Linked DNA regions of Macaca mulatta. The protein of the gene in region 2 interacts with the protein of the main gene of each other region in a pairwise test. Links are inferred from orthologs where the notes say so. Each region holds a gene or a part of one and is shown on either strand. Other genes may lie near its edges. The genes, in order: RNF25, UBE2D4 and RFWD3.

Region 1 (3,749 bases), on a different chromosome or scaffold from region 2:
CTCCTCATCCCAGGAGGAAACAGCATGGGCAAAACATCTCACCTTCTAGGAGAAGTGTTCTGATTTGACCAAAGCAGTCAAGATGAGATTTAGGGGAAAGGAAAGGAAAAAAAATTAAGAGGAAATAATAGAGTTCAAGTGGTTTACCTCTTACTACATGGTGTGCTAGAGACTAATAATAATAATATTTGTTGTTTACTAAGAGCCAGGCACTGTACTAACTGATTTAATGTGACAACATACTTAATCTCAAATGCCATCAATCAGTTGCTGTTCTTATCCCCATTCTAGAGATGAGGAAATTGAGACATAGAGAAGTTAAGTAATTTGTCCATAATTCTAGGGTTAGAAAGCGGTGGAGATGGAACTTATACCCAAATAATACAACTTCAGAGCTTATACTCCATAAGAAGTATGAGAGAGTCAATGCCTTAGGAATATAAACTGGTATACATACATCCCTTCTAGACCCATTTTCCACTGGAGTTGGGGGTACCAAATCCCACCCAAAAGGTATCCCTCTTTGTACAATACCTGAGCACTGTATTTTCTTCGACCCTTGTACACCCTCCCAAAAGAGCCTTCTCCAATCATCTCCAACACGTGGTACTTTTCCATGACAGAGGTTTCAGAATCTCTTAGAAGGAAAAAGGTAGAGACGGTGAAGAGCTATAGATCCAGGGACAATTCCACAACATCTGGGAGGCCTAGTTGGGGCATGGGAAAGGAAAAATGTTAGCCATCTTGCCTTTTCTCTTTTTCACAAAGACCAAGCCTCAAAAAACATGGGAGGGTAGAATGATGCAAAGATGATGCGATCTTGGAACAAACACAGCATCTCTTTGTAGTTCCTCTCCACTTTCAGCCTCCTGTCCCCAACCCGGCCCCATGCCCACCTGACACCTGGTCCCCCTTCTCCCTCATCCAGCTTGGCCCACTCGACCCTGCTCTCTTAACCTAGCATCGCCCACCCAACCCTGCTCCTTCGAGTCTCCCCCAAGTTCCTGCCACTCCCAGATTCCTCAGCACCTGCTCTCAGACCCCCTGGCCCATGCGCTTCGCAAGCCAGGGTCCCTCTCTCATCCCCAGCCTAGGAGATCCAAGCTCCTCGGGCCCAGGGACGGATTCCCTGGCCTTTAGCCCCATATCTTCTGGCTGCCTGCATACGTTGCCTGACTTACAATTCTTCTCCACCCGCCCCTCTCGCCAGTCTCTTTTGGCTCCCTTTCTAACAATTTCACTCGCTAGAACTGGTGAGAAGTTCAGAGGACAAAGGCGCTCAGAGGTGTGGGAGGGACGGCGGACCACACATGGGCACTTCCTGGGACGCATCCGAACTGCCTCTGGGCCATCAGGCCCGGCTAAGGACCCGGAGTCTGCGGTTGCCTAGAAACGACGCTAGCTGCCCACCCCTCTTAGTTTTCCGCCTCCGACTTCCCTAAGGGCATTTCCGGTTCCGGCTGCGGGCCGGTGAAGACATGGCGGCGTCTGCGTCTGCAGCTACAGGGGAGGAGGACTGGTAACTTCGGGGGCATGGGCTTTGGCTGACAGTCTGGGTCTAGTCCAGAGGCCTAGCAGCTGTCGCAGACGGTCCGTACGGCGGGCGTGTGGGGTGGAGCGAAGGATGAGGGATGGCAGAGATGCTGACATCTCCTCTGGGAGATCTTCTAGACTGGGGAACGGGAGGGTGGAGGGGCGCTGATCTGAGTGAGAAGAGACCGGGTCTGCGCCCGCCAGACCAGTTCAGGCCTCGCCTTATCCGGTTCGATCCCCTTTCCTCCAGCTTCACGCTATCCCTTTCTATGCTCCTCAAATGAATTTTCTCAGGGGCTTTGGGGGATGCCTGCCCGTCAGACCTCCCCATCTCCCTTTCGCCTCTCAGAACTAGTGCCCTCCAGTTCGGTACCCCTTTCTCCTTGGATCAGCGTTTTTCCGCCGACGCTTTCCTCAACCTTCTCTCTCCCACACAGCACTAGTGAGGACTATTGTCTGAATAAAGCTTTACACCTCACATAAAGTCCCTCTAGTCCTTCTCTCAAGCATTCTTAACTAAAGACTAGAACATGGAAGGACTCTGGGATTTGGAAGTAGGATCAATGTGGGTTAACTCCGCATTTTATTAGCTGTGTGATGCTGACCAGGCCATCTAGCTTCTGTGAGTCAGTGTCCTCAGCTGTAAAAACAAAGTGGGTGTGGTATTTACCTCAGAATAGTTGAGAGGATCACGATGGATTTGTAATATACTTAAGTCTGTTTTTTTGTTTTGTTTTGTTTTGTTTTGTTTTTTGAGACAGAGTCTCACTGTCACCCACGCTGGAGTGCGGTGGTGCGATTATGGCTCACTGCAGCCTCAACCTCCCCAGGCTCAGGTGATCCTCCTGCCTCAGCCTTCCAAGTAGCTGAGGCTACAGGTCTGTGCCACCATGCCCAGCTAATTTTGTATTTTTTGTAGAGACAGAGTTTTGCCATGTTGGCCAGGCTGGTCTTGAACCCCTGGGTTCAAGTGATCCTCCCACCTCAGCCTCCCAAGGTGCTGGAATTACAGGCGTGAGCCACCACACCCGGCCTCCTTTTCATTAATAACTGAGGTGCAGGCACCTGGGAAGATTAGATGAGCCCCAAAGAAGTAAAGTGATTTGCCAAAAGGTGGAAAATTGCGACTAGAAATCCACATCTATCTGACTCCACACCTTAGATTCTTTATACTAGGACATTCTTCAGTCCCCTCTCCCCCATTTTGTTGTCACCACCTTACCAGCATCCCATCCAGGACCCACATAACTAGGGTAGGCAAAGTATTGAAGGGCCACTTGACTGAGGCTACACCTCAGTGTTACATTGGTTCAGGGAGCCCTGCTAGTACTGGCCTTTATTAAGACTATCTAGACTACTGGTTTTCAAAGTGTTCAGGGAAACTTTTTCTTTTCTTTTTTTAAGAGACGGAGTCTTACTTTGTCACCCAGGCTGGAGTACAGTGGCAAGATCATGGCTCATTACAGACTCAACCTTCTGGGCTCCAGCGATTCTTCTGCCTCAGCCTCCCAAGTAGCTGGGACCACTGTGTCCAGCTAATTTTTTATTTTCTGTAGAGATAGTCTCGCTTTGTTGCCCAGGCTGGTCTCGAACTCCTGGCCTCAAGTGATCCTCCCACCTCAGCCTCCCAAAGTGCTGGGATAACTTATAGTTGACCTGTTCAGGGGAACTTTTAAGATTCAGGGGAAACACCTTGAGCCATGGAGAGAACAACAGTGAGTGCAGCAGCCTGTAGTGCTGTGAGACTCCCATCCCATGTCAGCCAAAACTACACTATTTTCTGTGAGGTGTAAAGCTTTGTATTTTATATTTTGAAGTTTCTGCCTAAGACTTAACAACAACTGACATAAGTCATGCTGGAGCAGCCTTACTCTTAGAATGAAGAGAGAGCAGTATGAGAAAGGAAAGTATGCATTTTTCCATGTATCACCTGGTAGAGCTGTAGACACAAACTGATCACTCAGCTTCAATTTCAATACAACTACTGTTTCTATGCTTATGCATGTGTGTCCTCTGATTTACATCGGAACATGGATGCTAACCTCAACAGGCTGATCTAGATCAACCAGACAGCCAGGGTCATAAATACATCCAGAGTACTCTACTACCTCCCTCCTTCCCTCTTCCTTCTAAGGGAGAAGGTTATATACAGACAGGAAGAAAAAGAGGATGTAGACTAGCTACTATAGCCCAGATACTATTAGGTACTTTATATA
Region 2 (3,749 bases):
CTGTTATTCCACCTCTGGCAATCAAACCCAGTAATGTGAATTAAGGAAAAGGCTCACTGTACAATGATGGTTGATCTGGTTTGGATATTTGTCCCCTCCAAATCTCATGCTGAAATGTGATCGCCAGTGTTGGAGGCGGGGCCTGGTGGGAGGTGTCTGGGTCATGGGGGCAGATTCCTCATGAATGGCTTGGTAGCCCCCCAACAATAATCTGTGAGTGCTCACTCTATTAGTTCATGCGAGATCTGGGTGTTTAAAAGAGCTGGCATCTCTCTCGCTCCCTTTCTTACCAGGTGACACGCCTGCTTCTCCTTTGCTTTCCGCCATGATTGTAAGCTTCCTGAGGCCTCACTAGAAGCAGATGCTGGCACTATGCTTCTTGTACAGCCTGCAGAACTGAGAGCCAAATAAACCTCTTTTCTTTATTAATTACTCAGCCTCAGATATTCCTTTATAGCAAACAAAACAGCCTAATACAAAGTTCATAACAGCAAATAGTGAAGAATTTTGAACAACAGCAGCTAACTCATATTGAGTGCTTGGTATACAGCAAGCATGTGCTAAACACATTTCATAGCATTTAATTCTCGAAACAACTCTGTAAACATGTAGGACTGGGAGGCTAGGAATGATTAAGTGCCTTACCCAAGGTCCCACTATAAGTGACCTCACATTCTCTAACCCAGGTCTGACACCCAAGTTCATACTTTTACCTACTACAGTTTTACCTACTACAGGTAATGACTAAATAAGTCACTAGTCATGTACTTGTGGAAAGTTAATGTTAAAAATTAGTTACAGAACTGGACATGGTGTCTCACGTTGTAATCCCACCACTTTAGGAGGTGGAGGCAAGAGGATCGCTTAAGCCCAGGAGTATGAGACCAGCCTGGGCAACATAGTGAGACACTGTCTCTACAAAAAATAAACAATTGGCTGGGCATGGTGGCATGTAGTCCCCGCTACCCAGGAAGCTTAGGAGGGAGGATCACTTGAACCCGGACGGTTGAGGCTGCAGTGAGCCATGATTGTGCCACTGTACTCCAGCCTGGGCGACAGAGCAAGACTGTCTCAAAAAAAAAAAAAAGTTATAAATACTACTTCACAACATGCTTACATTTACTATTATGTGAATAAGTGGAATACAAAATGCAGGATAATTGTTTTAAATATAGAAAAAACTGAACATAGGTATGCTAAAATGTTAACAAATAGTAAAGTGATAGGATTAGAAATACTTCTTTCTTCTACTGTTGTGCATTTTCCAAATCCTAGTGAATGCATTAAACCTTCATGGACTCCCTCTTACCTACAGGATAAAAATCAGTTATTTCAGCACTGCCCCTAAGGACCACCCGAGTCCACACCATCTGCCCTTCAGCTTCTCCCCTATCCTGTCAGTCCTCCAGGCCTCGTGGTCTCCCCATTGCCGGGAAAGCCTTTTTCCCTCTTCCCCACCTGCCGAGTTCCTACTCATCGCTTAGGACCCAGCTTCATCCTGGATACCCTTCTGGATACCCTTCTGGATACCCATCCAGCCCTTCTGGATACCCTAGAGGAGCAAGCTTGCCTTACTCCGGGGACCCAGCAACCCGCTGTCCAGGAGCCTGCAGGTGGCCCCACGGCGCCCCGCCAGCGTGACGCAGCCCACGTGGTCACGGCCCGGCCCCGCCCCGCGCTCGCGCAATCCCCTTCTCAGGCTGCGTTAGCTTTTCAGGCTGCGCGGGTGGCTGTTCGGCCACCTTCCTAGGCAGGTGTATCCGCGACTTGCGGAGCCTTTGTCACCTTTCACTTCACGGCAGCGGCGCCCCGCCCACACCTCGACGCTTCGGACACCCAAAGAGTCGGAGGGTGGGAAAGTGCGTACCTTCTGGATCCGCTTTAGCGCCATCCTACCCCGCTGCCGGGGACCCGGGCGGCCCGGCCAGGGCTGCCTGAGGCGGCCCGCTGCCGGGTCAGCCGCCACCGAGCTGCACGCCGGGAGCCGCCGCCTGCGCTTGCGCGCGCGGGGAACTGTGGGGCCGTCGTCGCCGCGTGCAGAGCGTCCTGGCGCGGCCGAGGGGAAGCCGCGGGGCTGCCCCGGTTACGCTGGCCACCCGCACCCGGTCCTGTGGCTTCGACCACTGGTCAGCAAGGCCCCGGAGAGGCCAGCGAAGAGGAGGGGCTCGTTGGCTTTACCAGACGCGCGGAGCACCCTCAAGGTGCCAAACGCTCGCTTGCTCCCTGTTCCTACATCCTGGGCGTCTTCTCAGGCTGTCATATAACTCCTGAGAATAGTGGTTCTTAACTCTGTAAGTATACATACCCTTGTACGCCTTATGGCTGGATGCGTTACAGCCATTTCCATGTAGATGTCTGTGCATATGTGCACACGCACAACTCTCCGCAGTTTTGGAGATCTCCGTGTTCAGTCGTACCTCACGTGATCTTGCACTGCCAATGTTGAGAACCAATGCCTTAGACTATGCATCACCCAAACTTAATTAGCTGTCTCCTTCCTGTTTTCCTAAGACTTGGCAGGCGTGTAGGTCAGAGTTGTTTAAACTGAGGGTTATGAACTATTTAGTGTGTCACGAAATCAATTTAATAGGTTGCAACCAACATTTGAAAAAAAAAAAGCCAGACGAAGTGGCTCACGCCTACAATCCCAGCACTTTGGGAGGCTGAGGCAGGCGGATCACTTGAGGTCAGGAGTTCGAGACCAGCCTGGCCAACATGGTGAAACCCCGTCTGTACTAAAAATACAGAAATTAGCTGGGCATAGTAACGTATGCCTGTAATCCTAGCTACTTGAGAGGCTACTTGAGAATCACTTGAACGCAGGAGGCAGAGGTTGCAGTGAGCTGAGATCGCGCCACTGCACTCCAGCCTGGGCAACAGAGTGAGACTGTGTCTCAAAAATAATAAAAAATAAAAATAAAAAAGAGAAAAAAATGTCAGTGCCTTTCACACAGTGAAGGTAAGAATTGTGGATGTTTTGTTGCTGTGTATATGTAGATGATATTTAATCTTCAGACTGAGACATGTTTGAGCATGAAAGTGGCTCTTAATATAATTACTCTGGGACCAAAGCCATAATTTAGGATTGTCTCCAGCCAGCCAGGACACATGGTCACCTCTATGTTTGTACTTAGGAAACAAAATGTATTATAGACATTTCAATGGTTGCCCAGCTTTGTCCCTGGCTTTCATGCTCCTATTCCCCCAATCTGTCCTCCACACAACTTCATAAACTGTCTGAAATATAAAGCTTACCACACTGCATCCTTACCCAGAACTCTTCAAGGAAGCCCAGTGGCCTATAGCATCACATTCACTGTCATTCAGGGGCCTTCAAAATCCAGGATCTTCAGCCAGGCACAGTGACTCACGCCTGTAATCCCAGCACTTTGGGAGATTGAGGTGGGTGGATCCCTTAGTCCAGGAGTTCTAGACCATCCCTGGGCAACATGGTGAAACCCCGTCTCTACAAAAAATACAAAACTTAGCTGGGCATGGTGGTGTGCGCCTGTAGTCCCAGCTACTTGGGAGGCTGAGGTGGGAGGATCACTTGAGCCCGAGAGATCAAGGCTGCAGTGAGTTGTGATGGCACCACTGCACTCCAGGCTGGGAGACAGAGCAAGACCCAGTCTCAAAAAAACAAAAACTCAAAACAAAATCAAGTATCCTCCAGCTTTACCTTCTCCTTCCTACCTCCAGCCCACCTGACTATCAAGTGTTTCCATCACCACAGCATCTACATTCCTTGA
Region 3 (3,649 bases), on a different chromosome or scaffold from region 2:
GGTGGCTCATGCCTATAATCCCAGTACTCTGAGAGCCCAAGATGGGTGGATCACCTGAGGTCAGGAGTTTGAGACCAGCCTGACCAAAATGTTAAAACCCTCAAATACAAAAATTAACTAGGCATGGTGGCATGCACCTGTAGTCTCAGCTACTCAGGAGGCTGAGGCAGGAGAATCTCTTGAACCCAGGAGGCAGAGGTTCCAGTGAGCTGAGATCACACCACTGAACTCCAGCCTGCGCAACAGAGCGAGACTCCATCTCAAAAAGAAAAGAAAAGGAAAAAAAAAGAAAAAAAAAAATCAACAAGGTAACAGAAATACACACCAAGTTAATCATTAAGGGGAACAAGGACAAATCAGCACCAGCACACTATCAAGCGGACTGGAATGGACACGTTAAGAAAAAAAGAACAGGGCCGGGTGCGGTGGCTCAAGCCTGTAATCCCAGCACTTTGGGAGGCCGAGACGGGCGGATCACGAGGTCAGGAGATCGAGACCATCCTGGCTAATACGGTGAAACCCCGTCTCTACTAAAAATACAAAAAAAAAAAAAAACTAGCCGGGCGAGGTGGCGGGCGCCTGTGGTCCCAGCTACTCAGGAGGCTGAGGCAGGAGAATGGCGGGAACCCGGGAGGCGGAGCTTGCAGTGAGCTGAGGTCCGGCCACTGCACTCCAACCCGGGCGACAGAGCGAGACTCCGTCTCAAAAAAAAAAAGAAAAAAAAAAAAAAAAGAAAAAAAGAACAGAACACATTCCCAATTTGGGGAACATTAGAAAATAGTTATTTTTCCAATTTGTTGGTTCTATTTGATGACAAATCTTTTTATTAAAAACTTAGATGGGATAAAGGACCATTATAAAACCATGTTAAAGCAAAGGAGTCTTCCAGTTGGCAGAAATCTTATGCTAAAGACAGCAGAAAGAAACATCTGCAAGATTTAGAAATGATTTAATTGAGCATTTGAAAAGACTTGGATTTCAACATTTAGAAAACCTAAAATAAAGCTTAAAAAGCACAAAATATGTTTGTTTTTTTTTTTTTTTTTTGAGACGGAGTCTTGCTCTGTCTCCCAGGCTGGAGTGCAGTGGCCCGATCTCAGCTCACTGCAAGCTCCGCCTCCCGGGTCCACGCCATTCTCCTGCCTCAGCCTCCCAAGTAGCTGGGACTACAGGCGCCCGCCACCTCACCCGGCTAGTTTTTTTTGTATTTTCTAGTAGAGACGGGGTTTCACCGTGTTAGCCAGGATGGTCTCGATCTCCTGACCTCATGATCCACCCGTCTCGGCCTCCCAAAGTGCTGGGATTACAGGCTTGAGCCACCGCGCCCGGCCAAAAAGCACAAAATATGTTGAGAGAAAATTAATCTAGCATTAATAGTCAGTGTACTCCTTAAACTCTCTTATTTGGAAATTGTTAACTTGAACACTACTGAAAATAAGTGTTAAATTTTGTTTCACCTTGAACTACCCCTAGGGTAGTGTTCTGTCAAACATTTCCAGTCTAAAAAGAATCTGTAAGTTGAACAGGACTTCTTGGACTCTATCAGTAACCTACACTTCCAAGGACCTCACCATCTGCTTTGTCATGGTTATCAGTATTTCTACCCTCTTGGTTAATAAATTTACAGAATGAAGTTAATAGACAGTAAAGACATCTTTGCTGCACCCTGGGGTACTTGCATTAACAAGGAACTGAGAGGGAAAGGTGATTTGGTGAGCCTTGAGTCTTGAATTTTCCAAAAGAGCAAGGAAATAAACACATGGAGTCTAATAAAGAACATGAAAGCTGAGGTTCTAGACTCTTTACCTGGAAGAAAAGAGGCCTGAGGAGAAGGCTGTGATATCACCAGGCAGCTCAGAGCATCACAGTATGCCATGATCCGGCAGTTTCCTGCCTGAGATACTGTGAAGGTCTTTTGGAAGTGGTACTTGTGCTTGTGCTGGTCCTGGCTGGAGGGTGAGCAGCTCAGGACCCATGCTTGGGAGCCCCTGGGTTGCTGTAAATTCTGATTTTGATGTGACATAAGCTTTTGCAAGTCCTAAAATGAAAAAGATTTTATAAATACAAAGCTTTTTAATTTGATATTCCCCTCAAACACAATTCCTTGATCTTATATAGAAGATTTCTTATCCATTACATGAAAATGTTAACATAAATTCTAGAGAACTGCCGAGTTTTTTTTTTTTTTGAGATGGAGTCTTACTCTGTCACCCAGGAGTGCAGTGGGACCATGTTGGCTCATTGCAACCTCCATCTCCTGGGTTCAGGCCCTTCTGCCTCAGCCTCCTGAGTAGCTGGGATTACAGGTGCCCACTACCATACCCAGCCAATTTTTAAATATTTTTAGTAGAGATGGGGTTTCACCATGTTGGCCAGACTGGTCTTGAACTCCTGACCTCAGGTGATCCATCCGCCTTGGCCTCCCAAAGTGCTGGGATTATAGGCGTAAGCCACCACACCTGGCCAGAACTGCTGATTTTTTACAGTATGTCAACAAGTGAAAAAAGGAGAGCACAGAATCATAATATGAGGGTTGAAAGTCCTTAATGATGGTTTTGTTTAAAGCCATTTAAAAAAAAAAAAAAAAGCAGACAGGGTCTCACTCCGTCATCCATGGCATCCAGGCTGGAGTGCAGTAGTGCGATCACAGCTCACTGTAACCTTCAAACTCCTGGTAAAGCCCTCATTTTATTGGTAGATTTACTTAAACAAGTTTGGAATTCTTGGTTAGCTATTTAATTTTTTCTAAAATTCAGACTGTAAGGCCAGGTGCAGTGCTTACGCCTGTAATCCCAGCACTTTGGGAAGCCAAGGCGGGTGGATCACCTGAGGTCAGGAGTTCGAGACTAGCCCGGCCAACATAGTGAAACCCTGTCACTACTAAAAGTACAAAAATTAAGTGGGCATGGTGGTGGGCACCTGTAATCCCAGCTCCTTGAAATGCTGAGACTGAGGCAGGAGAACCGCTTGAACCCAGGAGGCAGAGGTTGCAGTGAGCCAAGATCACATCACTGCACTCCAGCCTAGATGACAGAGTAAGACTCTATCTCAAAAAAATAAAAAAATAAAAATAAAATTCAGACTATAGTAGATTTCATTATAAAGTGTGTAGTAAGTTTTGAACAGATGCCCTAATCAGAAATAAAATAAGCAGTTGGTCATGTTTATTTCCTAAATAACTTGGCAAATCCTATTTATTTCTGAGATGAACATAAGTAGCATTTAGATTCCTCTTCCATTCCTATTCCAAAAGTTATTTGGGTTAGAAAGGATAAACATACCTGAACACGACTTTGAAGCCTAGTGCACTCATCAGTGAGGACCTGCAGTTGGAGTCGGCACTGTGCTGATTCTAACTCGGCCTGCTTCCTTAGCATCTGTTCCTTCAGTAGGGAACTAGGGGGGGGAAGCCAGCAACAACTGGGGATTAGGAAGGCTACAGAAGACTTCCCATCAAGATGGCAGAATAAAGTTCATGCTATGATGCATATTCTTTGCTGTAAATATGTTATGATAGTGAATAAAACATAAAAAGAGAAAAATCTCTCCAGAGACAGATTTTGGGGTAAGCAGGGACTGATGGTCAGGAATCTGACTACTACTAGAAAATTTGACTACGACTAAAAATGCCACAGGCAAAACGAGAGAA

Evidence for each region.
Region 1: the proteins of UBE2D4 (region 2) and RNF25 interact in binary tests that used the Homo sapiens proteins (3 or more experiments, as listed by UniProt). The link is inferred for Macaca mulatta from reciprocal best matches to the Homo sapiens genes UBE2D4 and RNF25.
Region 3: the proteins of UBE2D4 (region 2) and RFWD3 interact in a two-hybrid assay, tested with the Homo sapiens proteins (2 studies listed by BioGRID and IntAct). The link is inferred for Macaca mulatta from reciprocal best matches to the Homo sapiens genes UBE2D4 and RFWD3.

The regions. Positions count from the first base shown.
Region 1 is NC_133417.1:123,911,463-123,915,211, reverse strand, and holds the start of RNF25 (E3 ubiquitin-protein ligase RNF25), read left to right. Parts: upstream 1-1,446; 5' UTR 1,447-1,478; coding exon 1,479-1,519; intron 1,520-3,749. Other genes in the region: STK36 (serine/threonine-protein kinase 36), read right to left, coding at 535-618. UniProt on the Homo sapiens protein: E3 ubiquitin-protein ligase that plays a key role in the RNF14-RNF25 translation quality control pathway, a pathway that takes place when a ribosome has stalled during translation, and which promotes ubiquitination and degradation of translation factors on stalled ribosomes.
Region 2 is NC_133408.1:84,434,958-84,438,706, forward strand, and holds the start of UBE2D4 (ubiquitin-conjugating enzyme E2 D4), read right to left. Parts: upstream 2,365-3,749; 5' UTR 2,348-2,364; coding exon 2,306-2,347; intron 2,292-2,305; exon of another isoform or gene 1,892-2,291; coding exon of another isoform or gene 1,868-1,891; exon of another isoform or gene 1,698-1,867; intron 1-1,697. UniProt on the Homo sapiens protein: Accepts ubiquitin from the E1 complex and catalyzes its covalent attachment to other proteins. In vitro able to promote polyubiquitination using all 7 ubiquitin Lys residues, but may prefer 'Lys-11' and 'Lys-48'-linked polyubiquitination.
Region 3 is NC_133425.1:69,948,496-69,952,144, forward strand, and holds part of RFWD3 (E3 ubiquitin-protein ligase RFWD3), read right to left. Parts: intron 3,397-3,649; coding exon 3,282-3,396; intron 2,039-3,281; coding exon 1,807-2,038; intron 1-1,806. UniProt on the Homo sapiens protein: E3 ubiquitin-protein ligase required for the repair of DNA interstrand cross-links (ICL) in response to DNA damage. Plays a key role in RPA-mediated DNA damage signaling and repair.